Oryctolagus cuniculus: one gene and its partners. The protein of the gene in region 3 interacts with the protein of the main gene of each other region in a biochemical or structural test. Links are inferred from orthologs where the notes say so. Each region holds a gene or a part of one and is shown on either strand. Other genes may lie near its edges. The genes, in order: CDK2, PARP1, CEBPA, TRIB1 and SMARCA4.

Region 1 (5,415 bases), on a different chromosome or scaffold from region 3:
CGAGTACGAGCAAGGGACTGGACAGGCAGGGTCATAAGCCAATACAGGGAGAGAAACCTGGAAGACGGACGAGGTGATGGGCCGTTAAAGAGCGAGCTCCCGGAGACAGGGGGCGGTACGTCGTTGATAGACGTGCGTACCAGCCAATAAAACCTCGACACCCCATGACCCCCGCCTTTTGACTCATAAACATCTAATCAGGTGAGTGATGGAGGCGGGTCCAAGTGAGACTTTAGCCAGTGCTGCGGAAATTCGGGACTTGACTGGCAGGCAAGGCGGGGTTGAAGGAAGCCTGAGGGAGGCCGTTACTGACCTTCGCTCCTCCCCCTGGATTTGGCGGGGGCTGACTCGGGGCCCCGCCCTCTATGACAAATTCGCGGGCGTAAAGGGAAATACCTCTGAGGGGACCCGGCGCCTGGGAATTTGAGAGACGCGCCTCAGCGCTCTTCCTTTTAGCGAGGGTTCAGAGGACGTGCGTTTTCGGCGTGGCCTGCGGGCGATCTGAGATGTTTTTTTGATGGAGACAATGGCAACTACAAAAAGCAGTAGCTGGAGACGCCGTGGTAGTAATTTTCTATACTCAGTGGGTATTTTTTGAATTGTATGTAAATGTGAATAAGATAATCTTCAGAAACTCTGCCGTGTGTGATAAGCAACAGAAAGGAAAATCAACGCGGCTTACTGGGAAAGGCGGTGTACAGGTGGATGGATTCTTCTGGAACCTACTTCCAACCCTACTGCAGATTCTGGAATGGTCGCTGTGTGTGTGGGGGTGGTGGGGTGGGGGGAGGTAGGACTTGCTGTGTGGGGAAAGTGAAGGAGGAAATGACAGGGCCTCAGCTTCCCTGGCTGTAAAATGGGTCTAATACCCACGTTACTCACCCTGGGTCCTATCCCAATTCCAAGTGCATCTTAGAGACCAAAACAGAGTGAGAGGGTATCCCTGCCTAGAGAGGCCTAAAACCAGTCACCACAATTTCGCCTGCCTGGTCTCTCTCACACCATTCTTCCCGTGAATAATAGGAGGAACAAAATAACTACAAAACTAGGAACTTTTTTTTTTTAATGAATTACAAACTAAATTACAAATAACGTTAATAGTAAGGGCACTCAAGTTCAAGAGGTGGAAGAAAAAGAGCCAGAATGATAAAAAAAGGAAAACATTTTTAACATTTCCATTACAAAACCCCAAGGTGCACATGGCAAAAAATCCACCCGCTCCTGTTTAAAAACCATAACCTGAAATATAAATATAATTGTTCATCCTTCTTTTAAAGAAATATATTTTCCCAATGTCATCCCTGGAAGTGTCAGCATTCTCAAAAGGATGTCTAAACCCTAACTTCCTCTCCTAGGGGGCAGGGGTGGCCCTCAGAAAAGACAGGAGCAGGGATCCATGGTAGCTGAACAACTAAGAATCCCGAGGGCAGAGAAAAATCCAAACTCTCTCACCTGCCTCTAAGGCCGTGGAGAATGGATGGGAGGGAGGCACAGTGCCTGTGTTAAGAGCCTTCAAGTCCTCTGGCCCACAGCCGGGGCAGACAGAGGGGCTAGGGGCTGCCATTTCTCCTGCAGGCCCCCCCGGGGCCTAGTCTTGGGTCTGCCCACTTGTCAGGTGAGGTGAAACAGCAACCCACGAGTGGTTTTAACTGAATTCTTTAAGAACACTTCCTCCCTGTGGTGTTCTTCCTGCTCCTTTCTCCAAAGTTCCAGCTTAGCCAACCCTGTTAGTAGTTGACCTTTACAAAACTAGTGGCCACAGGAGGCTTGGGGGCCCAAACACATGGGATAATAATTATGGGGCATTCAGAGTCTGGGAGAGAACAGTCAGCTCTGGTATTTTCCAAGACGAGCCCTTCTCAGCAAGGACTATGAGGAGGGGAGCGGGTGGTGGACACTGACGTAAGTGCACGGAACACTGCAACTTCCTCTCATTCTCACCCATTCCTCCCTCAACCCTTCTGTGCCCAGCGTCGGCAGGCCAGCAGGGGCAGGGGAGTGTCACAGTTGCCGGACAGGATCAGAGGGCCTCCACCTGCGCCCAAACAGCGGGGAGGGCCACGCCGGATCAAGCCCATACTGGGAGGAGTGGGTGACACCCGGGGCGGGGGGGGGGGGGCGAGGAACTTGGGCCACGATGTCAGAGTCGGAGATGGGGTACTGGCTTGGTCACATCCTGGAAGAAGGGGTGAGCCAGAGCTGCCTTTGCCGAAATCCGCTTGTTGGGGTCATAGTGCAACATTTGCTGGAGGGAGAGACGGATGCGGACTTCAGTGAAATCAGGAAACCAGGACTCCTGGTTCCCAAGACAGAGTTCTCACTGCCCCCCTCCCCTCTCTGAGCCAGCCGACGGGGAGAGAAGTGCAAAGGCGGAGACCCCCGGGTCAGGGGCTCATCTTCCTCCATCGTAGGCAAGCCCTTCCCGCGGACAGGGCACGAGCAAGGGGAAACAGATGCCCACTCTCACCGATAACAAGCTCCGTCCATCTTCATCCAGGGGAGGCACGACTTTGCTAAAATCCTGCCGGGCCCACTTGGGGAAACTCGGCTTGTAATCGGGCATTGAAGTAACTCCTGGCCAAACCACCTCATCTGGGGTCCCCAGAGTCCGGAAGATCCGGAAGAGCTGGTCAATCTCAGAATCACCAGGGAACAGGGCCCGGCGGGTCACCTGAAAAGGGGGAGGGGAGGCAAAGACCCACACTGACGTCAGTCACAGCTGTCCCCCGCACAGAAGAGGTTCCCACAGGCAGTGGAAGGTCAGCAGGGCCCCATGACTCCCTCCCCAGGGCCTGCCATGGGGTCAGTCACACACAGCCTGAGACAATGAAGTCCCTTCATCTGGCTCCTCACCCCTCCTTCCTTCCCCCATCCATGGCTTTACAGACCCCCAAGGCTGGGTGGGGCTGGGAGGGGCTGAATGTCTGGGGTGCCGCTGACACGTAGCAAAGGGATCCCAAGCCACTCACGGGATGTGGGGTAGACACTGCGGTCATCCCCCCTCCTTGGGATGCGGCCACTTCTAGATAGGAGCACAGCGGGCAGAGACTGTGTCTTCCATTTCTTCTGTGTTCCCCACAGCACCCAGCATGGTGCTGGGCACACACTAGGTGCTTAACAGATATTTTTTAATGAATTGAGAGCAGAATATGGGCAACTGCAAGGTAATGCACTGGGGACGATGTATAGGCTATTGTCTCCTAGTCCCCAGTGGCAACCCACGTAAAGGACCATAAAACTTATTGCTGCTGGATTGGAAGATTCGGCCTACTCCACGGTTCCGTTATGGGGAGATAGGGGGGAGGGGACGTGATTGAAGCCTGCAGATTGTGTGAAGGGTGTGGGTAAAGGGATCCCGGTTGGCTTACTCCATTCCTGGCAAATGAAGTCTACCGGCCAAATGAAGGAGCGGCTCCCTGGAAGGCATTCCCTCTAATATACGCAGACCAACAGTAAAACAGCTGCACAAATGATTTACCCATTTCAGGGTGAAGAGGGACACTAAGCCTGCTCGGGGGCCACGTCCTATCCTTTCCCCACACCCGCCTTGATGCTGCTGGAGAGAACCCTTTGAAAGAAGGGCCACGGGCCCAGGCCAAGAAACAGTCCTGTTGTTCTTAGACGTGGGGAGGAACGGGCTGGGTGGAACTTGGGACAAGCCTCCGTACCATCTCGGCAAAGATGCAGCCCAGGCTCCAGATGTCCACGGCTGTGGAGTAGTATTTGCAGCCCAGGAGGATCTCAGGGGCTCGGTACCACAGGGTCACCACCTGGGAGACAAGAAGAGGAATGAGAGCTGGCTTCCAGGGCCCTCACCTCTCAGCTCCACTCTGCTAACTCTTAGCCTTAAAACAAGATGTTTCTCTCCTCCATCCTCCCCCTCCTCTGATCTCCCTGTGAGAAGCGATTACACACAACTTCTTAGCTCAGAGTTAGCCTAGTCCACATAGGGGCCATATCTTCTGAACCTCCAAGCTGGGACTTTCCTGGAAAACTTGCGACAAATGGTCCTAATTTTAGTGGTGTCCCATCCAGCTGTCCTGGCTTAGGAAAAGCCCATTGCCAGCGACAACTGCATCTCACATGGGAGTGCTGGTTCAAGTCTTAGCTGCTCCACTTCTGATCCAGCTGTCTGTTAATGTGCCTAGAAAAGCAGTGAATGATGGCCCACCCACGCAGGAGCCTGACCCAGCTCTGGCTGTTGTGTCCATTTGGGGAGTGAACCAAGAGGTGCAAGATCTCTCTTTCTCTGTCTCTCCACCTTTCAAATAAGTAGAATTAACCTTTAAAAAGAAAAATCCCAGTTAGCACCACAGAAGGAACTGTGTGCATACCCTAAGACCCCTTAGGGTCTCAGAGATTCTTTTCATATAGTAAGAGAAACTGTTGGCCAAATATTTCTAGTAACTTTGTGAATGCCCTTGTTAACCCCTCCTGGGGAGCTCAGAGAAGAAAAGCAAGGCGGGGGGTGGAGGGGTTTGTGGACTCACCTCGTGGGTGTAAGTACGAACAGGCACTCCAAAGGCTCTGGCTAGTCCAAAGTCGGCTAACTTGATGGAGCCCTCTGCATTGATAAGTAGATTCTGAGGTTTTAGATCTCGGTGCAGGACCCGATGAGAATGGCAGAACGCTAGGCCTTGGAGCAGCTGGAACAGATAGCTCTGACAGGGGGAAGAGAGGGGATTGTTGTTCAATCACAACAAGCACATCAGTTTGCTCTTTGCCCACAGAGCTCCACTAAAGTCTTTACTATGTTATTTTGTAGTTACAAGCTATTTTTGCTGGTAGGACTCCCAGTCCCAGGAAGATCAGGACCAGGTCTTAAGCAGATTTGTATCTCTTTCATGCCCTGTAGCTACAGGTTGAAGGTTTAATACACATGCATTCAAGAAACACTAGTTGGGGGCCAGCGCTGTGGCGTAGCAGGTAAAGCTGCTGCAGCAGTGCCAGCATCCTGTATGAATGCCAGTTTGAGTCCCAGCTGCACCACTTCCGATCCAGCACTCTGCTATGGCCTGGGAAAGCAGTAGAAGATGGCCCAAGTCCTTGGGCCCCTGCAACCACATGGGAGACCAGGAAGAAGCTCCCGGCTCCTGGTTCCTGGCTTCAGATTGGCCCAGCTCTGGCCGTTGCAGTCAACTGGGGAGTAAACCAGGGGATGGAAGACCTTACTGTCTCTGCCTCTCCTTCTCTGTGTAACTCTTTTAGATAAATAAATAAATCTCGGAGCTGGCACGGTGGCACAGCGGGTTAACGCTCTGGCCTGAAGCACCAGCATCCCATATGGGCACCGGTTCTAGTCCCGGCTGCTCCTCTTCCAATCCAGCTCTCTGTTATGGCCTGGGAAAGCAGTAGAAGATGGCCCAAGGACTTGGGCCCCTGCTCCCATGTGGGAGACCTGGAAGAAGCTCCTGG
Region 2 (5,223 bases), on a different chromosome or scaffold from region 3:
CACGTGTCTCCAAGTAAAGGAGCAGAGGGTCTCCTCTGCCCGAACACTCGCTGATAGGGTTGTGCTTGCTGCTTAGGGTGCTCCTCCCTGGCCCTGCACATAACACAGACCCAAGCGTCTCACCAGGCACACCTGGTGGGGGCAGAGCGGTTGAGCCTCGGGAAAGCAGGAGCCCTGCAAGGAGGCTCTGTGTGGTCAGGCAGGACATCCTGAATGCCACTCCAGGTTAGGCTGCTGGCTGGTCTGTCCTAAGAAGCCCTGCCTAGCTTCCAGAGTAAGAAAGCATTTGTCCTTAATGCCTGCTCCCTGGGTTCCGCCCTCCAGATGCGTCAGGGCAAGGGAAGAGCCCTAACCCAGGCAGGTGGGGCTTCCCAGAGGACAGGCAGAGACCCCAGGCGGCTGCTCTCAGGTCACTGTAGAATCAGGGCTCAGAGGTCGGGGCGCCCAGCCCCTGGAGGTGTACCTGCTGGAGCGGAGGGAGTCACAGAAGCGGGGGCCGAGGCTGTGGAGGGAGGGGGTGCCGCTGCTGCCGGGGCGCTGCTCTCTGGGGGGAATATGCGGTCCTGCTTTTTGATCTTCAATTTCTTGAGGTAAGAGATTTCCCGGAATTCCTGAAGAATTTAAGTTTTAGTTTTTAAGAAACTAGTTCCCTCTATAAACGACCACCTAACAGGCCAAAAGAGATCTGGCTGGTGCAAATTCAAAGATCTCTTTTTCTAATAAAGAATGTAGAATAGGAAAATGGGAGGCTTCTAGGATGAAGGATGGCAGTTCTGCCACCATGGTACTTATGGCCAGTATTTCCATTTTATGATCAAATTGGCACTGCAGCTATGTTAAAAGAAGAGTCTTTTCCTTTAAGAAAATGAAAAACAAAATGACAGTTGATGATCTGGCCAGGGAACCACTGCTGGAGCCTATAACCACCTCCCCGGCCCCACTCATTTATTTTTTCCACGAGAGGGAGGCGAGTCTCTTATTCGGTGGTTTGTTCCCCAACTGTCCGCAACAGCTGGAGCTAGGCCAGGCCACAGGCAGGAACTGGGAACTCTGTGTTGGGCTTCCACCAGATGTATGGACCCAGCCACTTGAGGCCTTACCTACTGTTTCCTAGAGTGTGCACAGGCAGGCAGGAAACTCAAACCCAGGCACTGACATGGGATGAAGGGTCTCAAGCAGTGACTTAACTGCTGCCCCCACCCCATCCTTGAATCATTCTCAAGAATGAACAGGCCTTCCTGGGGCCTCAGGTGCCCAATCTACGACCAGAAGGGCCCCAGGACCACACACATCATTACCTCTAAGTCAGAGTAACTCTTTTCCTTTTTTTACTGAACTTACAACAAAATCCCTCAACAGCAAATGGCACAGTTCACTCTCTGTCCCAGGAGATTTACAAAGGGACTTATTCTAGATGGTCACTCAATAAAAGTCAAATGCACAAAGCTCTGGGAAAGACCACAGTTCCTATGCTAAGACTTCATCCAATCAATACACAGGCCTTTCCGACGATGCCACAGTCAATGAATGCCAGTTGGATTAAAGGCTAACAAAGAGCCTCCAACATACACTGACCACCTAATACTGCCACACATCACAGGCAGGTTCAGAAGACGGTTTCTGCCCTTGAGGAGGCTCAGTCTCGACCACGTCAGATATACGATGGTAAGCCAAGTTCTAAACTTGGAGCCAAGTTCTAAACTGGAGGTGAGCTAAGGTGACAGGAAAGTGGGAATGCTGGGAGGGCACTCACAGGCCAGTGACCTGCTGAGTCTATTAGGAGCTGGAAAAGCAGGCAAGTGTCTGCTTACTACAGGAACCTAGATGGCCTACGGGGAACCCTAGGGAGCTGTCCATGGCTGGGAGTGTAAAGAGCCAAGGAGTACGGCGGGGAGAGCGATAAGGGAGGAAAAGGCGGCGGCAGGAGAGGCTGCAGAAGGCCCAGAGTCAGATCATGGAGAGATCCTGGTTCTGTCACCACAGGGACACAAGCTGGGGGCAACAATCACCGCCTGGGTCTGGGCCCGTGAATCCACACAGGCAGCAAGTGCCACCAGACTGCAGAGGTGTCATGCACCCGCACACACTCTCAGATGCGCTACTGTGGGCACATGGACTATAAACAGTCCACGCTGCTAACTGTCATCTGATTTGCTCCTTGAGAGATAGTAAACACCACACAATGGGTCTGTAAGATGCTGAAGGAAGGGAGGTGACAAGCTCAGACCTGCTCTAGCATGGACACCCAAGTGCCGAGGGGACTGGCTCAAATGTCCTCCCCGCATGGGAACACAGCAGGTGCAGCGAGCAAAGGGAGAACCGGGACCTTGCCCCAGCTCCTGCCGGCCTGAGGGCACAGGGCAGGAGCTTATCCAGCCACCAACTCTCCAACTGAGGGGTCTGCGCCCACTAAATTCCACTTGTGGTCCCTCGTATAGAGGGCACTCAGTACCTAGTGATACATGAACTCTGGACCTAACTCTCCCTCCGGCACTAAGGCAAGGAAATGCTTGTCATAAAAGCAGGAATTACTACTATCTGTTCACCATATGTCCCTCACAGTAACAGCGCACAATGGGCCCCAATAAATCAAGTAATTCATGGTCCTCACAAGCAATTGGACAAACCTTGACTCCACACTTCAGAGACGCTTTGTTTCCATATTTGTACAGTCTGCAAACATATGGAACCCATAAAATTTTATGTTCTGATCATGAGAATGGCCCAGTTGTGACAAAGTCTGCCACTGCAGTCTTGGTGACAAGCCCCACCAACAGATCCCAGAACCATCCCTCCCTGCAACAGACCCCTTACCTTTGGGGTCACCCATTCCTTCCGGTTGGGTGTCTGTGTCTTGACCATACACTTGGTCCAGGCAGTGACGTCCCCGGTACAGTAGTAAGCATCGCTCTTGAAGACCAGCTGGCCCGAGCACTCCTCGCAGGGAAGGAGGGCACCGAACACCATGCCATCAGCTACCCGGTCCAAGATCTGAAGCCAGCAATGAAATGGTCAGAGGGGAAAGGAGGCACTCCAGAGAAGACGCTGTGCAATGTGGCATGGAGAACTTGCACAGACCTCCTTCACTGCAACAGAGGCTTGCCTGGGGCTCTTGAACTTGCCCCCTGGGCAGCTGGTTTGCTAGGGGGCTTGGGTTCTTGGGTTTTCAGAGACCCATCTCTAAGTGAAGTGTTCCTTCACCTTCCCCATCCCTCAGATTGGGAAATACAGGGAGAGCCCAGAGCATGCCCTGGTCCTGCACAAGGTACCAAGGCAACCTCAACTCCAGAGGAGGAGGGCAGGGAAGAAGCAGCTGGGGAAATGCTGGGACCCTGGCATACCACCTTGCAGAAGGGTCTCTTTCCCTCCACAAGCCTTGCAGCCCCAGGGAGTTTGGGCAGAAGGCAGCTGAGAGTGCTACTCAGGCCAAAGTATGTGGTATGACCATTCAAGGCAAACATGGCCCACTCTAGCCCCCAGCAGAATTCCACAGCAAGTGTCAACATGAGAAATGTCTGGTAGGGCCTGTCCCAACTGCCCCTGGGGAAATGGTGACCACAATGGCAGTGATGACTGTACAACATGACCACCGAGGTTTTACTCCTCGCAGCTAATACCAGTAGGTGTTCAAACGGAGGGCCTCGCATATTCCATTAGGACAGTCGGCCTCACAGGCGTGTCCCGCTCTAACACTAAGGCCGCTCACCGCCGACTCCCCGGAAGGCACTTGCTGCTTGTTGAAGATGAGCAGCTCTTTCAGGTCATTGGTCGAACATACTTTCTTTAGTTCATCCTTGATGTTCCAGATCAGGTCGTTCTGGGCCTAGGGACAAGACCCAGCAGCTGAGTGAGAGGCCTCTCTTTTCAACTGAAGGAAGAGTATACCCCTGGACATGCCTGGCCTCAAGCACACACCAGAGGATTAGCTGAACTGACTCTCCCGAAAAGACGGTCTGAGCAGTAGATTTTAAGTCCTTGCCATGCTCCAGCAGGTCTCAAATTGAATATGAAGCATGGGCTCTCAAAGAGTTGTGCAAGGTGGGGAAGAAACCATTAACAAGTGTGGGGAAGGACGTAACAAAGTCACCAAAGCCCCTGGAATGCATCCCTCAGAAACCAAGCCCACAAGACACACAGGGGCCTGTAAGTGCTAAATGGCCCACATGTGTCGACCACCAATAGCCAGAGGCCAAAGGAGGTAGGGTGTGCCTGTTCTCTGTCAATCTTTTCTTATTTGAAAGGCAGAGACAGATAGACAGACACACACAAAGGATATCTACAGAGAGCCTCCATTAGCTGGTTTATTTCCCAAATGCTACCACCAGCTGGGACTGGGTCACACCAAAATAAGACTCCATCTGGGTCTCTCACATGGCTGGAAGGAACCCAAGTATGTGAGCCTAACCTGCTGCCTCCCAGGGTGCACATTAGCAGGAAGCTGGAACTGGGAGCAGAGCCAGGGCTAGAACCCAGGCACTCCAATATGGCATGTGGGTAGCCCAGGTGGTGTCTTAACTGCTTTACCAAATGTCTGCCCCTCTACCAATTTGACAGTAGGAATGATTCCGAACACTAATTTCTTAATAGTGTATCAATTCAGTACCATGCAGGGACACATTTAAGTTCTCCTGAAAAAGGACTTTTAAGTTTTTAATGTCTATGAAGGGCCTGCTCTTTGTTGTGTACTTTGACAGGTCACCTCACTTACTCTCACAAGTGCCTGGCTGGGAAGAGCATGGGCCTCCCCATCTTAGAGTGGAGGCCAGGGGGTCTCCTCTCTCTGTAGGACTCACCCTCTTGGCCTCAGATTCCCTCCATGTGAAAAAATGGAGACGAAAATGCCAACCCTATGATACCCACAGACTCACCATCAGCACCAAATGAACACTGACTCAAAGCTGCAGTCACTCACATTTGCGCCTGTTTCCCAGCTCCACTGTTAGGGACTCAACAATCTCCCCTGCCCTCCTCCTCCTCCCTCAGCACATGGTGGGACACCCTGCACTTCAAGGAAGTCCTGGGTACAAGGTCAAATGCAAGTGGAATAACTCCTGAACCTCCAACACCAGATGAGCCAGCAGAAACAGAGGTGCAAGCGTGGGGAAGCACTTTGAGTTTCTTTCTTTCCATCTCTGACAACATCAGGGAGAGAGCACAGGGACTGAAGGGCAAATGCACTATGGGCTGTGGCTCTACTGCAGCCAGATGTGATGCAGAGCGGAC
Region 3 (5,691 bases):
TCTCATTCTCTGTCTCCTGAATTAAAAAAAAAAAAGTCTGTGGAAGAGGCACATTATGAAAAAAAAGTATGCATGGATTTCAAAATATTTGTTGCACCAAAACAAATTTATCTTTTTAATCCCATTTTCCCACAGACTTTTTGAAGTGCCGTGCTACTGGTATTGTACAATCCAATCATGTGAACACTCTCACGGGAAGATGAGCTAAAAAGTGTTTTTCCTTCTCCCCTCCAAGAAAACAACACCTTAAAGCCCCTGCCAGCCTCCTGAGCCCTGTTAACTCAGGTACCAGGGGCTGCCCCTCTTCGTCTGCTGCCACTGCTACAAGGTGGTGCTGGTGGCTTGTGCTCGGAGTGAGATGCTCACCAGGACTCAGCCTCTTGCTTGTGGGGTGACAGGGAGACTGGATGCTGGACACCCCTGCAGGCATGCTGTGTCCCTGCCCCGCTATGCCTACCTAAGAGCCTGGGGCCCAGCAAAGGGGGCTGGGCTGGATGGCAGGAGCTCAGCTTTCCGGGTGCCCTTTTCGGCATCGTGGGGACAGGTTGCAGTCTCGTGGTCCGGAGACAGTTGGAGGGTCCAGGCACTTGGTCCAGGGGGAGCGGAGGAGGGTCCTACCAGACAAGGCTTCTTTCAGCCAGCCCCTCGCTCTGCGGGGAGCCTGGGGCAACGCTGAGTGAGAGCAGGGCTGCTCTGAGTACTGGGAGTGATTTGGAAATGAGCATCCCCAGAGGGCCCCTGGAGCCTGGAGCTGCTGGCTGGGCCTGCACCCAGGGAAGAGGGCTCCCAGAGTCCCTTTTCTTCTCCCAGGGGCAAATGAGGGGCCACGGTGAGGCCTCTGCCCTGTACCCCCCACCCCCACCCCCCCACAAGCCTCCCACTCCCACCCCAGGAGACTGTCTTTGGCTCTGGGCATTCTCAGCTTGGAGCCTGTTTATTTGTCTGGGTTGGGGGAAGTCAGTCACCCTCCTAAGGGAAATAGGGGTTCAGGATGGACGGGGTACTAATGGAAGCCAGGGCACCGGCCAGGGACAGCGCTGTGAGTATTTGCCAATGTGACCTGGCCCGAAGCAAAGCTTGCAGGCAGCTTCCTCCTGCTTTTAAAGAGACACCAAGATTGACTTTGATACGTTTATATTATAGACATAATACATAAAACTTCTAGCATGAAACTCATGTTCTCCCCAGAGGAAGAGAACCAAGTCTTCCTGCTGTGCTGCCGGCCCCAGCGACGTGCACGCCCTGGCCAGAGGCCACTGCCCTTCCAGACCAGGAGCCCCGGGCCTCAGGGCTGGGGCTCACAGCTGCAGCCAGGGAGAACCCGGGGAAGGGGGGAGGGGACGCCCACCTCACCTCATTGGTCCCCGGGAGCAAAAGCAACCCCCAAACCAGAAGGAAAGAGGACCTCAGAGCCTTCCCCCAGCGGCCAACCAAGAGTCTCATTTTGGCAAGTATCTGAGCAAAACCAAACCAAAACAAAAACCAAATACAATGGTGGTGGAGCGTAGACGTGCACACGGACACTGCACAAGGCAGCGCCGGGACGGAGAGAGGCTAGATACAAGATATCGGCTGATAAAGCAGAATATTTGGAAAGTTTGTCATGGCCCGGGTCCCTCTGGGATGGGCTGACTGCACTTCATGTCCGCACGGTACAGACAAGGCTGGGCCCCCGGTCCCTGCACCCCGCACCGCACCCCACTACCAGATCTCCAGGTTCTTCCGCCAAGCCACCACTCCCTCCAACACCCGTCCTGGCTGGGTGGTCTGAATGGGGTTGGAGGGGCTCCTTGAAACCTGATGACCCCCGTCTCAGTAAGCGCTGCTCCGGGAAGCCAAGCCTGCTGCAGGCTATGGGAGGGGTAGGTGAGGAACTAGGGACCCTTCAACTTCATTATAACTAGGGGAACCACCTTAGGCTCAGAGCCCCAAGTCCCCATGTTTGCTCCCCTCTGAGGGCCGACGCTGAGGTCTGGCTAGGACTGGTTGCTCCCTGTACACTCCTCCCGTCCCGGGCCTGCCCCCTCTCACGGGGGCCGCTGCTGTCCCAGGGGCGGCAGAAACCCTCCAAGTAAAATGACAAGGCACGTATTTGCTCCCCCTACTCGGTAGGAACTGGAGCAGCGAGTTTGCATTTCCAAGGCACACGGTTACTCCTGAATACCGGAGTTTGCCGGGCTCCAGCTCAGCCCCCGGAGAACTCTTCCTCTCCCGCGGGAAGAAACCACTGCCGGGTCCCCTCGTCTCAACACGCACCAAGTCCGGCGCGGAGGGAGGGGGAGGCGTCCAGCGGGCCGGGCTTTTGGTCGGCACCGGAATCTCCTAGTCCTGGCTTGCACGGCCCGGTGAGGGGAGGGCGGCGGCCTGGAGACCTGGGGACCCGAAATCACTCCCCAGGTGCACCCCAAGCCCCCAGCCAAGAGCCGGCCCAGGGCAGTCCCGCCTCCGCGCGCGCCTCACGCGCAGTTGCCCATGGCCTTGACCAAGGAGCTCTCCGGAAGCTGGCGGAAGATGCCCCGCAGGGTGTCCAGTTCGCGGCTCAGCTGTTCCACCCGCTTGCGCAGGCGGTCATTGTCACTGGTCAGCTCCAGCACCTTCTGCTGCGTCTCCACGTTGCGCTGCTTGGCCTTGTCGCGGCTCTTGCGCACCGCGATGTTGTTGCGTTCCCGCCGCACCCGGTACTCGTTGCTGTTCTTGTCCACCGACTTCTTGGCCTTACCCGAGCCGCTGCCGCCGCCCGCGCGGGGATCGGGGTGCCCAGCCGCCAGCCCCTTGAGCGCGCCGCCTGGACCCGGCAGGCCCGCAGCGCCGAGCGCGGGGGCCGGGTGTGGGCTGGGCACGGGCGTAGGCGGTGGCGTGGGGTGGCCGGGCTGCAGGTGCATGGTGGTCTGGCCGCAGTGCGCGATCTGGAACTGCAGGTGCGGGGCGGCCAGGTGCGCGGGGGGCGGGTGCGGGTGCGCCGGCGGCGGCGGCGGCGGCGGTTGGTAGGGGAAGAGGCCGGCCAGCGCCAGCTGCTTCGCTTCGTCCTCCTCCCGGGGCTCCTGCTTGATCACCAGCGGCCGCAGCGTCGGCGCCCCGACGCGCTCGTACAGAGGCTCCAGTCTGCCGTCCAGGTAGCCGGCCGCCGCGCAGCCGTAGCCGGCGGGCGGGCCGTGCGCGCCCCCGGGCATGACGGCGCCGCCGGGGCCCACGGGGGCGCCCGGGTAGTCAAAGTCGCCGCCGCCGCCCGCCGGGGCCGCGGCCGCGGCCGCGGCCGCCTTGGCCTTCTCCTGCTGCCGGCTGTGCTGGAACAGGTCGGCCAGGAACTCGTCGTTGAAGGCGGCCGGGTCGATGTAGGCGCTGATGTCGATGGACGTCTCGTGTTCGCAGATGCCGCCCAGGGGCTCCGGGGCGGCAGGTGGGGCTGGGGGCTGCGTGGGGCCCGCGCCCCGGGGAAAGCCGAAGGCGGCGCTGCTGGGCGCGTGCGGGGGGCTCTGGAGGTGACTGCTCATCAGGGGCCGCGGCTCCGCCTCGTAGAAGTCGGCCGACTCCATGGGGGAGCTAGAGTTCTCCCGGCATGGCGAGCCTCGGCGGCCTCCAGCCTGCGCGGGGCGCCGCTGCCGCCGCCCGCCCGCCCGGAGTCCCTGCTCGCCCGCGCCCGCGCTGCTCCGGGTCGCGAATGGCCAGGCCTGCGCCGGCCGCGCATTTATACCGGGGCGGCCGTCGCCCCCTACTGTCCAAGCCGGCCTCGGACGGCCGTCGCGACGGGCGGCGCCTCCGGGTCTTAGCGCCGGCCTTGCGGAAGGGGGCGGTGAGCCGAGCCCGAGCGCGACGCCCAAAGACAGAGGCGGTGGCGCGGCGCCCGCTGCTTTCTGCGCCGCGAGCCAGCGGCTGGCGTCCCCGTGCACACGTGGTCGGTAGCGGAACCTCCTCCTCTGGTCTCCCCAAGGCACCGGCGGCTTCCAGCCCAGGGCCGATCGGGGGCCCGGGAGCATCCACCAGAGGCCGCGCGGGGGGCTCGGTGGAAAGGGGGAGTTTTGGACTTGCGCGGTCGCAGCTCACGCTTGCATTGGAAACTAGAGCCTCGCCTGTGGTGCCGGACCCGGGTCCCTGGGAATCCGTGGCGCTGAGGGGCAGGGCAGGGGGCCGGCCGCGGACTGATTCGGACGCTGCGGACTGATTCGGACGCTCCGCACTGCTCACATCTCTGTGCGCCAAGGCCCGGGGCGCGGGGTCCCGAGGTCATTCGTGTCCCATCTCCAGGTGACCCCCACTGATTCCGTGTAGCAGCACCTCTATCCCCAACCCTGACGCCCCTACTACTGCAGGCTCCCACGGGCGTGGCGAGCAGGGCGCTAGGACCCCGCGGGGGAGCAGAGGCGCCGCGGCGCCGCGGCCCGGGAGCCTGGTGGACCCAACCGGTCGATTCGCCCAGGCTAGAAAACTTTCTTTTTAATAACTTCTCCAGGCCGGAGCGCAGGGTTGCTAGGCGCGCGGGCTGGCGCAGCTACCTGGCGCGGAGCTGCCAAGTGTTGGCCTGCGGGCGGAGCGCGAGTGCTCCCTGGACGAGCCGAGCTGGCCACTGCGCGAGCGCGGGGCCGGGGGTAGCCGCGGAGGGAGAAGGTGAACTTGACTCCAGGTCCAGGACCAAGACCGCGAAGGGGACTCGCAGCCCACGAGCCCCACAGCCACTTCTTTCCCTCCTTCCCCTCCCCATCCCGCACTCCCCGTTCAGGTGAGCGTCCAGGCGGGGGCGGGGATGTCGTAGGAGCGGAGGCCTCCGGGTGCGAGCACGCACTGCCCCGGAGAGCTCCGCCAGCTGGGATCGTAGGCGCCGAGGCGGTCAGGCCCGGGGCCTCTGGGGCGCAGCGCCGCCTCCGCGCTCACTGCCGCGGGTGGGGAGGAGGTTTCGGCAGAGGCTCCCCCGCCACGTGGCGTCCGGCGCCTTCCGTAACGCGGATCGCAGCTGCGGAGCGCAGCAGCCAGGGGCCTCGTGGGCCCGCCAGTGAGTGCCTCCCGCCTCCACCCACGCCTTCTCTCGTGACTTCTTGCGTGGAGGCCGGACGCCCTGTGGGTGCCTCGCCGGGCTGCGCAGGGCAAGACCCCAGCGCCCCGGCCGCGCTCAGCCTGGCCAGGCGCCCGCCACGGTCCGCCTGGGAGCGTCCAAGGAGGCACCGCGGGAAACGCGGCCGGGGAGGCCCAGGCTTCCACTGTGGTCCGCAGCCAAGAAGCGATCCCGTCTGGGGAGCGCATTCCGCGCTTTAATCAAGGTCTTATTCAACAGATCCCCAATGATGAACGGCCCGCCTGCTCCGTGTTCGGACCGGAGCTCATAAACAAGATATTTTTAGCTTTGCGTTCTTGGACTGGGAGGGTAAAAGCAGATACCGTAAGCCAGTCACCTGATGCGGGCTGCAGAGCCCTTTCCCGGCCTGTGCGAGACCCGTGAATGCACGGTGCACCTGTGCTGGGAGACCCGGAGGGACACCCAGAAACACCCACAGGGATTGTCATTTTCTCTGTTTCCCTAGCACAGGAACAAAGAAAGGGCTCCGGATAGGGTCCTGTTCCCGCACAGATGCGGGAGCCGGGGAGACCCCAGCCTCACGCCCAGAGCTTCCGGAGCCGGGCTGCTTCTCTTTGGGTTGGAGGAAACAGAAGCAGGGGGCAAATACCTCCTCCGAGAAGGGACGCAGGAGGGTGTGGGGGTGA
Region 4 (5,916 bases), on a different chromosome or scaffold from region 3:
TGAGGTAAGCCAGGAGCTATATTTAGCAATCAATTCTAGCCAACTTCCATTTATTATTCAATGCGGCTATTTTCTGAAGGTGAATCCAAACCGGATTATCTTAAAAAGTCACAGGGAAATGTGAAGAAAGTATGGGGAGCCCAGCCCAAGATGGGAAAAAAAAAAAAGGCAGAGTGAGATTCTGCAAACAGGACAGCCTAGCTCCGTCACACCTTCAAGGTACAAAAACAAGACTTGCAAACTTCCTGTAGAACTCGGTCATCGTGAAGGGCAAAGTTGATGCTCCTACCCCAGAAGACTGAGCTGGTGGACAGCGATGGGGACTAGGCCTGGTCCTGGGGGTAGAGCACCCTGCCGCTAAGTGACATCCGCAGAGGCACCAAGGTGTCTCCAGACCCCACCCCCGAGAATGCAGAATAAACCAACCTTGGCCGTGACTCCTCAGGACTTCTACAACTACCTCTGGGACAACTGAGCCCTTGGTTTTGCTGTGCACCAACACACTGCACCCAATTGCACGACCCGTGCCTTTACTTGGGTTCCAATAGGCCACAGGAGGAGGCGCTGTGGCGGCTGCTCACCTCTCCTCCGTGGAGAAGACGAACTTCCTAAGCTTCAGGTCCCCTAGCACGATGGCCGACTGGTGGCAGTGGGCGACAGCAGAGACGATCTGCTTGAAGAGCCTGGCGGCCTCCTCTTCCCGCAGCCTCTTCCGGCTTCGCACGTAGGAGTGCATGTCCCCGAAGTCCTTCTCAAAGAAGACGTAGGCCTTGGTCTCCCCAAGGATCACTTCCACGATGCCGGTGATGTTCCTGTGTGACGGCAGCTGGATGTAAGGCCTGATTTTGTCCTGGTAGTGTTTAATGGGAAACACCTGCGGAGAGAATGGGGCGGGGTGCTTAGGGGGCTGAGAAAGGCGGAGGCTAGCTCCCAGATCCCCCAGGGAGCCGGACTGAAGTGCTCCATCTCTGGGCTTTGGGGAAGCTCTATGCATGTGGCTTCCTTATCTCTGATGCTGCCCCAGGGACCCCTAGTACCCTCACAGCCAGTGACATCTAAGGCTAGCAAGCATCCAGAGAGCTACCCCCCCCCCCATGAGCGGTTTCAAAGAACAGTCTTCTGTGCCCGCCTGTCAGTCTTCTCCAGGGACCCTGAGAGCTAAGCCCCCAGAGCTCCCACCCACTGGGGCCCTTCCCGGTTTGCAGAGCACGCGGGCAAGGGCCTGCAGGAAGTGCATGTGTCTCCTGCAAAGGCAAAGGGTTCAGCCCAGAGAAGGCACCGGCCCGTGACTCCGCAGCCTCCCAGGGGAAGCGGGGGCCACAGAGCTGTCAGAAGGAACAAATGACTTGGCTGGACAGCCTGTGACCGGGCAGCACTAAGCGACCCGCCTGCCGTGTGACTCAGGTGCAGCCAGTTCCCACAGGTGGGGTACTGGACCGTCCCAATGGTTTTTCTTTGTTCCATTGTTTGTTTAGGCCCCCTCCCACCCACCCCGCTCCAGGAACCGGCAGCATCTCCCCTAAGAAGCTGGCAGGTCTCTTTAAGGGCCCTCTGTTTAGTCCGGTTACTCATATCCTAGACTCAACTGGAAACGGTGACACACGGGCTGTCACCATCTGGATTCAGCTATTATCTGCTTGGAGGAACTGGAAGGGGTTGCACAACGACCAGACCCACCCCACCTCTGAGGCCTGGCTGCCTCCTGCTGCTGCCTCTCCGCCTCCTATCCCACCCCACAGCACACACACACACACCCGCTTTCCCCAGAACAGCTCTCAGCCCCAGTCACCGAAAAAGGTTTCTCCCCGCTTAAAAACCTGGGCTTGGTTGTACATTTGCAATTTCATAAGGGTAGGACGGTAGGTGGCAGCAGCAAGCCCTGGAGGAAGGTTGGGGGGCGGGGGCAGAGGGGCGTCAGGTGAGTTACAGAAAATCCAAGAGCAAGTTTAACTTGGGGGCGCCCAGCCCGGGTGGGCGGAAGGCGGCTCCTCAAGGGGAGCCTGCGACCGCAGTGCCAGCCTCCAGGGGCGGGGACGGCCGCGGACCCGGCGGGTTCTGCCTGTCCCAGTGCCACCTCCTCCTCCCTGCGGTGCAAATGCAAACCGCTGACCGGAAAATAAAGTGAATGGAAGCGAGGACGCCTAGCGGGCGGGGGGGGGGGGTTCCCCACTTTCCGACTCCGGGCAAATTCCCCCCGCCGCGGCTGGAAGACCCCCCGCCCCGGACCGGCCCTGGGCAGGGCGGTGTTCGCGTGCCAGCGCGGGCTCCCGTCGGAATCCCCAGGGCACGGGCCGGCCCAGGTCTTCCCAGCCGCAGCGGAGCCCCGGCGAGGGGGCGGCCGGCTGCTCCCGGCTCCGAGCAGGCACCCACTGCGGGGCGTCCTTCCAGGGCAAGGGCGGGCGGGCGGGGCGGCGAGGAGAATGAGAGAAGGGGAATGGCATGGCCCTGGAATCCATTGCAATTCCACAACTTATATGGGAACGCCACGCGCTAAACTCAGCGCCAAGCAAGGACTATAAAGCAATTGAACCCTGCACTTCCGCTTGCCTGCGAATCCCCCCTTTACACCTCTCTCCAAAAGGGTGAACTCGGTCAATGGCCGCCTGGTCGGGCTCCCCGCACCAACCCGCCCTGCCCCCAAGCCCCCCGCGTCGGAGGGACGTCGGGCACCGCGTCCCGCGCCCCCGATCCCCCCGCCGGGTGCTCCCCGGGGCGCCTACCTTGCAGCGCAGCTCGCGGCCGGTGTGGATGCACAGCGCCCGGGACACATGCTCGCGCTCGGCTAGGGGCAGTAGCAGGTAGTCCGCGATGCGGCTGGGCCCCGGCGCGCTCCCGGAGCTGCCGCCGGCTCCCGGCGCGGCGGGCAGGGGCTGCGGGCTGCACGGCGAGCCGGGGGGGCTGAGGTAGTCCGGGGGGCTTGGGCACTCGGAGAGTCGCGGGCACTTGGCCGCCGCCGCCACCGCCGCCGCCGCGTCGTCCGCATCCAGCAGCCGTTTGGTCGGGGTGCCCCGAGCGGCCGGGAGCAGCAGGGCCGGGCCCCGGGGTTGCGAGGCGCCGCTCATGGAAGAGCGCACGGGACCGGCCCGCATCCCGTCCCCGGCCGGGGCGGTCCCGGCTTTGTAAGTCCCCGGATCCGCGCAGGAAGGCGCTGCGGGCTCGGCGAGGGCGCCGCGACTTCTTCCAGCCCGCGGGATGGAGTTTGCAGAGCGGGCTTGGCTCGGCCCCCACAGGGGCCACAGCGGGAGTGGCTGCTCGGCGCTGTCGGGTGCACACGCGGAGACCACGCTGGCTCAGCGGCCGGGGGGCGGAGGCCGGCTCAGGTCCTCGGACCCCCGCGGCCGCCGACTTGGGGCCCCCTCGCAGGGGGCGGCCGCCGCTATTGTTGCCGAGGCTGCCGACCGTCCCAGAGGCGGCGGCGGCCTGCGTTCCCGGGGTCCCGGGCCACGAGCACAGGATTCCGCGGGCTGCGCAGAGCCGCGGAGCCAATGCACGTCCCGGAGCAATCAAAGCCGGAGCAACTTTTCCGCGGCGCCCGGGGGTCCTGCGCGCGCTCCTGGACTGCGGGCGTGTGCGAGCGGGCGCGACGCGCTCGGAGAGAGTGACTGAGTGTGAGTGAGTGTGTGCGCCGCGCCGATCCCGGCCAGCGCACTCCTCCTTCTCCTTTTCCTCCACCTCCTCCGCCTCCCGGTGACTCACGCTGTATACACACACACACTCACAGGCCGGCCTGTGTAAACAGTTGGGGAGCCGGGTTGTGCAATGAGGTGGCCGCGACGACTCCGGCTCCGCCACCCGGCGAGCAGTCCCCGGAGCGGAGGGAGGAGACTGGGGGGGAGGGGCAGGAGGCTGGGGGGCGGGGGGTGGCCCGCGGGCCTGGGATGCTCGGAGCGGCGCGCGCTCGGGCGCAGGTGGTGCGTCCCGGGCCGCCCGGAGCGCGCGCACTCGGCCCCCGGGCTGGGCAGGGCAGGAGGCGGCGCGCGCCCTCCTTGCAGGCCCCCGGCTCCGCGCGAGCGGCCGAAGGAGGGGGCGGAGGAAAAGTTCCCGTGACGTCAGGGTCTCGGGGAAGTGGGCGGGAGGGCGGGGCCTCGGGGGGCGAAGCGGCCGCTGATTGGTGCGCGCGCCTCATTCACAGCGAGCACAATGGGCCGCGGGCACGCGCGGCGCGGTTCTCTGCACCCGCCGCTCGCTGCGGTCCCGCGGTTACGCCTTTGGCCCCGGGGATCCCCCCGCAGCCCAGCACCTGGGGAGCTCCGGTTGGAGCCGTGGGCGGCCAGGCTGCAGCCAGAGGAGAGGGGTGGGGGTGCGGAGGGAGCCTGGGGAGGGTGATGAGTTCCAGAGACAGTCATTCACCCCCACGCGGTAGTTCCGGGGAAGACCTGTGCGTGGTAGTGGATGTGGCTCCCCCCTCCCTTTTCCTGCCTCCTCCCAGCTCTAATCCCCAGCGTCTGTTCGCTTCCACAAATAGAACCTTCTGTTGGACGAAACGAAAGCAAACACGGGGCCTTCTGCGCCGCCTCCACCTCCTCGCCGCCCGGGTTGCACGGAAATAGCTTCTCCAGGCTCCCGGGCCGCCCCTTCGCGGTGACTCGCAGAAAGAGCTTCCTGAGCCGGGCGGGTGGGAAACAAAGGATGTGGGAGCGGGCGGAAGGGGCCCACGTGGCCGCGGCCGCCGGATCCCTGCCCCTCCCCGGGCCTCCGCACGCGCCGCGGAGTCTGGGGCGCGGGTGCCAGCCTGGGCATCGGGGTAGGTGGTGTGGAGGAGGCGGGGCAGTCATTGCGGCCACGGCCCCGCGGACGCTGCAGAGTGCTTAGGGTGAGCGCAAAGTGTGCGCCAGACCCTGCGCCGAGCTCCGTGAAAACAGCTCGGAATCGGAACCTGGTCAGTTTGGAGCCCCTGAACGCCCAAGGCAGGCGACCTTGAACTTCTGCTAAATCGTTAACTTTCTAAAACCAGGTAGAGCCCTAGGAATACATCCATTTCCTTATTAATTCTCCGTGCATTCAACAAACACTAAGCGTCTACTAAGGGCTAGGCGCTGGGGATTAATAGATGAAAATTAAAGCAGCAATAACAGCTCGAATTAGATGCGGCCTCCAGGGTGGGAGTCCCTGTGCCTAGCGTGGAACCTGTGGGACCACCACCACCTCCTCTAGTCCACGTCACGGAGGAAAACACTGAGACCCAGAAAGATGGGGAAATAGCTCACCAGTGGTGGAGCAATTGAGCACTTAACATCATTGGGGACCCAACAGAGAGATGGCAATTTGTAGGGGAAAAGAGGCATTAGGGAGGACTCAGAAGACCCTTGAGCTGGGGTCCAGTGGGACTGTGTGAGCGTTGCTCAGGTCCGGGTGGCTGTGAACAGTGCTGGTGGCCAGCCCAGGCAGGGGTGTAGGGAAGAGCCGGGTTGGCTGCAAGGGTGGTGGGGAGCTGAGCCAGCCCAGGCCGTCTGAGAGGTCGAAGGGAGGGCTCCAGCAGCACGCTTCGTTCTGTGGCCAGGAGGGAGCCCACCTATGCTCTTGGTCTTTCAGGGTTATTTTGTGCAGGAACTTAAGAGGCACTGAGCTGCCAGCTGCATGGCGTAGTTGGTGTGGTCCAGGGGCATCTTCCTCCAAGGTGTGTACCTTGTCTTCCTCTTCTCTGGGAATGGCACCCCTACCATTCACCAAGCCCCCGCCCACCCCCCAGGGCCAGACTTCTCCCTGGGGTCTGCTTTTCCCCCTCTCCGACAGTGGTCACTGGGTCCACCAGACCTGTTTGCCCCCAGGGCCATCCCCTCCCTGCCTCCCCTGCACAGCCCCCAGGGGTTGACCCTCGAAAGCTCTGTTTCCCAGGCCCTCTTGCCCACTGGCTTCCAGCCCAAGTTGCCGGGTGCAGGGCGCTGGAGGGAGCTTGGCAGGTGGGAGAGCGAGTGT
Region 5 (5,223 bases), on a different chromosome or scaffold from region 3:
ACACCCTGCTGTGCTACAGGCCTGGGGCTGGCCTCACTGGAGAGCTGACACCCTGCTGTCCTACAGGCCCGGGGCTGGGCTGACCCAAGAGCTGACGGCTCTGCTGTCCTACAGGCCTGGGCCTAGGCTCGTGCCCTTGTCTCAAAGGCTCCCTTCTTGGCCCTGGAGCATTCTGGGGGGCAGGGGAGAGGAGACGCTAGATGTGCACCCACGTCTCACTTGCGGCCCTGGCGCACAGCACGGCGGGCGAGCTCTGGTTGGGAGCCCCGAGCAGGGCTGTGTGGCTCCTTTTTATAGCCTTTCCGGCAGTGCTGTTCAGGGCCAGACAACGACTGCCAGGCAGGACTCTGCGGACAGCCCCCAAGGCGGGGAGGGGGCTGAGTGGTCGCTCAGTGCTGCTGCCTGGAAGGCCGAGTCAGGAGGGCCCACAGGCGCTGCCCACTGCCCAGCCACCTGCAGCTGCTGGGCCCAAGCTCGCAGGGCCGCTGGCTCGGGCCTGCAGGAGCCTACACCCTTCTTCAGCTCCCCGGCCAGGGAGGAGTCCCACTCGCAGAGTGGACTGCCCATATGGGGCTACAGGCCCCCTGCCGAGTTAGCACCCTCCTCCCCCGACCCTGAGGGCCCCGGATGCTGTGCCGCTTGTCATCACCTCTTGTGGACTGACAGGTGCCTGGCCAGCCCCTAGCTGAGGTGGGTAGTACACTCCTGAGCCCGGGAACAGGTGGACCCTGGCGCTGACTGCACCACACGTCCCCATAGCAGGGGTCTTCCCACATCAGCAGGGAGGTGGAGGACCCGAGCATCCCTGGCCCACACCAGAGGCCTCAAAGGCCATCACGCAGCACGGCCAAGATCGGCGGAAGGAACCTCTCAGGTCTGGGGCTGAGGCACGCACCTGGGCAGCCGGGCCCAGCTCTGTGCAGCCCGGCCGAGCGGCGCGGGCTGCAGCCCTCTCCAGCATGTACCTTGAGCCACTGCTTCTCGGTGAGAGAGTCGCTGTAGTCCACCTCCTTGCGGTGGCGGGAGCCGCGGCCGAACATCTTCTCCTCCTCCTCCTCGCAGGTCAGCCGCTCCACCTCGGCGTCGTCCTTGATGATCCAGGACGGCAGCTCGTCCTCCTCCATGAGCCGCGGCTTCCGCTTGGGGTTGCGGGCTTCCTCCCGCCTGCGGTCCAGGTCCATGCGCTGCAGAGCCGGGCGGCGGGGCAGACAGGGTGGCGTCAGCACGGGAGCCCTGGCCACATTCCAGGGTGCGCTCACTGGGCAGTGGGGGGCACTGGAGGCTCACGGGGGCCACTTCCCTGCCCTCAAGGCCACGGCTGCCATGGGCTAAGTTAAGCAGCAGCTCAGGTCTGGTGGTGGCTGGCCCGGCCTGATGGCTCTGACAGACCCTGGCTTGGGGCTCTGCCTTGGGCACAAAGACGCTGGAGAAGGTGGGAAGGCCGCAGGGGCGGGGCAGGACGGGTTGGGGACGGCACAAGCCGCGGGGGCCGAGAGGCCTGCTCCAGCTGCGAGCCGTCGCCAGGGCCGGGGTGGTTCTGAGCCCAGGTCCTGCAGCCCTGGACCGCGGGCGGTGCTAACCTAGAGCAGAGGCCCTGGGTGCTGCCAGCGGGTGGGCTCTGGGGGATGGGCACTTGGTGGAGCCAAGGGGCTCCATGAACACAGGAGAGCATGTGCCTCCCTGTCCCTGTGGCCTACGAGTCCAGGCACCAACGCGTGGGCCACCCCGCCAGAGGCCCCGTCACTAGGCCTGCAGGCTGCGCCTGTCACCAGCCCCGCGGGGCACTCACCATGAACAGGTCGAACTCCTCCTCGTGCCGGGCGATCATCTGGTTGACTGTCTCGTCGTCGGGCACCTCGTCTTCTTCCTACAAGACGGCAAACCTTTAGTCTGGGTGTGGAGGGGCCGGGCTGGGCGGCATCCGTGGGCGACGAGCTGGAGGTCCTAGAGTGGCTGCGGTGGATGGGGACCCACGCGGCAGCGAGAGGCACACACGCACACGCACACGCACGCTCCGTGGGGTCAGGGCCCTTGCTGGCCTCTCCGCCGGCGAGCCGAGGATTGAATGGGCGTGGAGACTGAACTACCCCTCTCACCTTTAGAGGTGGCTCCTCCAAGTCGGGGTTGACGCCCGCTGGCGGAGGGGCAGTGTGGGCGAAGCTGGCACTGCCGCTGCCCGTGCTGCAGTGTCTGCTCTGTGGATAAATAGAGGACTTCAGTCTCCAGGGCTGCCAGTCCGGCGTCTGTCACCAGCAGTTCAGAAAAAAAAACCACTTCAAAGAAAAAGCAAGTACTCATCCTCTTTCCGTTCAGCCCACACTCCCTTTACTCCAAAGGGATGCAAAAAAATAAAAAAATAAAAAAATAAAAAAAAAATAAAAAATGCAAAAAAGGTGGAAAAACGAAACTGCGAGCCGCTCACGCGTCCACACTCACGCGGGGAGGGGGGCGTGGGGCTCACCTCGTCCTGCTCCTCGTGCTCCAGGATGGCCTGCAGGAAGGCGCGGCGCTCGTGGCTCGAGGACTTCTGGTCAAACATGCCGGCCTGGATCACCTTCTGGTCCACGTTGAGCTTGTACTTGGCCGCGGCCAGGATCTTCTCCTCCACGCTGTTCACCGTGCAGAGGCGCAGCACGCGCACCTCGTTCTGCTGCCCGATGCGGTGCGCCCGGTCCTGCGCTTGCAGGTCCTGCGGGAGCGGGCGCCCATCAGTCGGATGCACAGCGGGGCCTTCGCGTTCCGGGGGCTGCCCCCGCCTGGCCCAAGCCCCACCCCTGAGCAGCGGCTGCGTGAGCTGGGGGCTCACAATGGAAGGCAGCCTGCCCGCCGTCCTGGGGGGCGAGAGGCCCGAGTTCTTCCACAACTGTCACGTTCACCCTTCCCGGCTGGTGCCATTCCAGGGGACACACCGAGTTGTGTCCTCAGGCACACAAGTCCTCAGCGTGGCCACGCACCAGGACAGGGCAGTGCCACACAGCACCCTAGTGGGGCCTGGCTTGGTGTGGGCCCTGCCGCCTCCTTACTGTGCAAGCCGGCTCCGAGCCCAGGCTTTCTTTTTTTGGACAGGCAGAGTTATAGACAGTGAGAGAGAGACAGAGAAAGGTCTTCCTTCTGCTGGTTCACCCCCTAAATGGCCACCATGGCCAGCGCTGCACCAAGCCGGGAGCCAGGTGCTTCTCCTGGTCTCCCATGCGGGTGCAGGGTCCAAGCACTTGGGCCATTCTCCACTGCACACAGCAGTGGCCACAGCAGAGAGCTGGACTGGAAGAGGGGGACTGGGACTAGAACCAGAGCCCATTTGGGATGCTGGCGCCACAGGTGGAGGATTAACCAGGTGAGCCGTGGCGCCAGCCCCGCCCAAGCTTTCTGAGACTCAGAACACAGTGCAGATGGAGGCCCCTCAGGCAGACACTGTGCCGGTGACCCGAGTGAAGGGGTTTCTGCCCAGCACAGTGGTTGGTGGGCCAGCCCCCGTGGAGGGGCAGCCGTGACGGAGACACGTCCATCACTATCTGAAGTTCAGTGAGCAGGCTCTCTCACAGTCCCGCCTCTGGGCCAGGCTATGGACCGGGGCAGCAGCTGGTGGGGACGGCCATGACCCTGGCCTGCGGGGGCCTCTGTGCCCGACAGTGGTGGCAGGCTCCACAGGGTCCACGCCTGCGGCAGGGAGGCACAGCCCAGTCCCCTGCTCGCAGGCATCCATCTGACCATGAGGCCGGGGCTGCCAGGCGACGGGTGGGAAGTGCACACTCTCGCCTGTCAGTGGGCGTGGCACAAACAACCAGGATGTGTAGACGATGCCGCAGGCACAGCAACGCCCTCCCTGGGCCTGGGCACTGAGTGCGCTGGGCTCCAGCGAGGGAGCCAGGCCTGGTGGTCACGCCGAGAAAGAGAACCAGAGCCAGGCAATTGGCGTGAGCGGAGCCGGCACTGACCAGCTGGGGACAGCCATCAACGGGCGTGAGCGGAGCCGGCACTGACCGGCTGGGGACAGCCATCAATGGGCGTGAGCGGAGCCGGCACTGACCGGCTGGGGACAGCCAGGCAATGGGCGTGAGGGGAGCCGGCACTGACCGGCTGGGAGAGCCCTGTGTGCTCCATCAGGGGCTGCCAGGGGCCAGGACGCGAGGCGCCGGGGTGGCGGGCGGCACCTCTGCGCGTGCAGTCAGGCACGGGCAGAGGCTCAGAGAGTGCAGGACGGCTGAGCAAGGCCAGCAGTGCCCTTCCCCTCGCGCTCCCATGTTGAGTAAAACGTGTTACAGTGGAATCCGGGGCAAGACGGCCCCTCCTTATAAACAGGCGGTGCTGGCTCTGCGGACCCAAGGCCAGGGACATGGTGAAGGAGACGAGCAGGCGGGGAGCACAGCTCGCGGGTGCACTCTCAGAGCGAGCCCACTTCTGTCTCAGTGACGCAGCCCCAGACATTTTTAGGATTACAAGGGCACACACCACTTGCCTCTTCGAGGCAAAAGGGGGCTCTAGAGGATAGCGGCCGCCTTCAGGAAGTGTGCGGCGGCTCTCACAGAGGACACCCTGGGCGCCAGGGCAGCCCACAGGTGGCGACGTGGACGTGGACGCTGTTCCCTGCCCCCGGCCCCGCGCCCGCACCTGGTGGGGGTTCCAGTCGCTGTCGAAGATGATCACAGTGTCCGCCGACTGCAGGTTGAGCCCCAGGCCCCCGGCGCGGGTGCTGAGCAGGAAGATGAAGTACTCGGAGCCGGGCTCATTGAAGGTCTTCAGCAGCATGCCCCGGTCCTCCGCCTTGGTGGTTCCTGCCGGCACAGGACCACAGCTCAGCAGGCAGGAGAGACACACAGCCCCGGCTACACCCGCTCTGTGTGGGCCACCAGCGAGTGCCCACCTCCTTCCCCCAGGGCAGGAGAGACACACAGCCCTGGCGACGCCCTCTCCGTGTGGCCACCAGCGGGTGCCCACCTCCTTACCCCAGGGCAGGGAGAGACACACAGCCCCGGCTATGCCCTTTCTGTGGGCCACCAGTGGGTGCCCCCCTCCTTCCCCCAGGGCAGGAGAGACACACAGCCCCGGCTACGCCCTCTCTGTGTGGGCCACCAGCAGGTGCCCACCTCCTTCCCCCAGGGCAGGAGAGACACACAGCCCCGGCTACGCCCTGTGGGCCACCAGTGGGTGCCCACCTCCTTCCCCCAGGGCAGGAGAGAGACACAGCCCCGGCTACGCCCTCTCTGTGGGCCACCAGTGGGTGCC

The links.
Region 1: the proteins of CEBPA (region 3) and CDK2 form a complex in vitro, tested with the Homo sapiens proteins (2 studies listed by BioGRID, with this or other methods). The link is inferred for Oryctolagus cuniculus from reciprocal best matches to the Homo sapiens genes CEBPA and CDK2.
Region 2: the proteins of CEBPA (region 3) and PARP1 form a complex in vitro, tested with the Homo sapiens proteins (2 studies listed by BioGRID, with this or other methods). The link is inferred for Oryctolagus cuniculus from reciprocal best matches to the Homo sapiens genes CEBPA and PARP1.
Region 4: the proteins of CEBPA (region 3) and TRIB1 form a complex in vitro, tested with the Homo sapiens proteins (2 studies listed by BioGRID and IntAct, with this or other methods). The link is inferred for Oryctolagus cuniculus from reciprocal best matches to the Homo sapiens genes CEBPA and TRIB1.
Region 5: the proteins of CEBPA (region 3) and SMARCA4 form a complex in vitro, tested with the Homo sapiens proteins (2 studies listed by BioGRID, with this or other methods). The link is inferred for Oryctolagus cuniculus from reciprocal best matches to the Homo sapiens genes CEBPA and SMARCA4.

What each region holds. Positions count from the first base shown.
Region 1 is NC_091442.1:58,759,171-58,764,585, reverse strand, and holds the end of CDK2 (cyclin-dependent kinase 2), read right to left. Parts: intron 4,662-5,415; coding exon 4,491-4,661; intron 3,771-4,490; coding exon 3,669-3,770; intron 3,114-3,668; coding exon 2,970-3,113; intron 2,672-2,969; coding exon 2,468-2,671; intron 2,246-2,467; coding exon 2,141-2,245; 3' UTR 1,047-2,140; downstream 1-1,046. UniProt on the Homo sapiens protein: Serine/threonine-protein kinase involved in the control of the cell cycle; essential for meiosis, but dispensable for mitosis. Phosphorylates CABLES1, CTNNB1, CDK2AP2, ERCC6, NBN, USP37, p53/TP53, NPM1, CDK7, RB1, BRCA2, MYC, NPAT, EZH2.
Region 2 is NC_091444.1:39,041,661-39,046,883, reverse strand, and holds part of PARP1 (poly [ADP-ribose] polymerase 1), read right to left. Parts: intron 3,824-5,223; coding exon 3,707-3,823; intron 2,992-3,706; coding exon 2,815-2,991; intron 612-2,814; coding exon 464-611; intron 1-463. UniProt on the Homo sapiens protein: Poly-ADP-ribosyltransferase that mediates poly-ADP-ribosylation of proteins and plays a key role in DNA repair.
Region 3 is NC_091449.1:21,471,896-21,477,586, forward strand, and holds CEBPA (CCAAT/enhancer-binding protein alpha), read right to left. Parts: upstream 3,675-5,691; 5' UTR 3,534-3,674; coding exon 2,457-3,533; 3' UTR 1,118-2,456; downstream 1-1,117. UniProt on the Homo sapiens protein: Transcription factor that coordinates proliferation arrest and the differentiation of myeloid progenitors, adipocytes, hepatocytes, and cells of the lung and the placenta.
Region 4 is NC_091437.1:151,043,066-151,048,981, reverse strand, and holds the start of TRIB1 (tribbles homolog 1), read right to left. Parts: upstream 3,834-5,916; 5' UTR 3,090-3,833; coding exon 2,721-3,089; intron 875-2,720; coding exon 582-874; intron 1-581. UniProt on the Homo sapiens protein: Adapter protein involved in protein degradation by interacting with COP1 ubiquitin ligase. The COP1-binding motif is masked by autoinhibitory interactions with the protein kinase domain.
Region 5 is NC_091447.1:66,602,566-66,607,788, forward strand, and holds part of SMARCA4 (transcription activator BRG1), read right to left. Parts: intron 4,773-5,223; coding exon 4,609-4,772; intron 2,690-4,608; coding exon 2,462-2,689; intron 2,196-2,461; coding exon 2,097-2,195; intron 1,868-2,096; coding exon 1,790-1,867; intron 1,185-1,789; coding exon 966-1,184; intron 1-965. UniProt on the Homo sapiens protein: ATPase involved in transcriptional activation and repression of select genes by chromatin remodeling (alteration of DNA-nucleosome topology).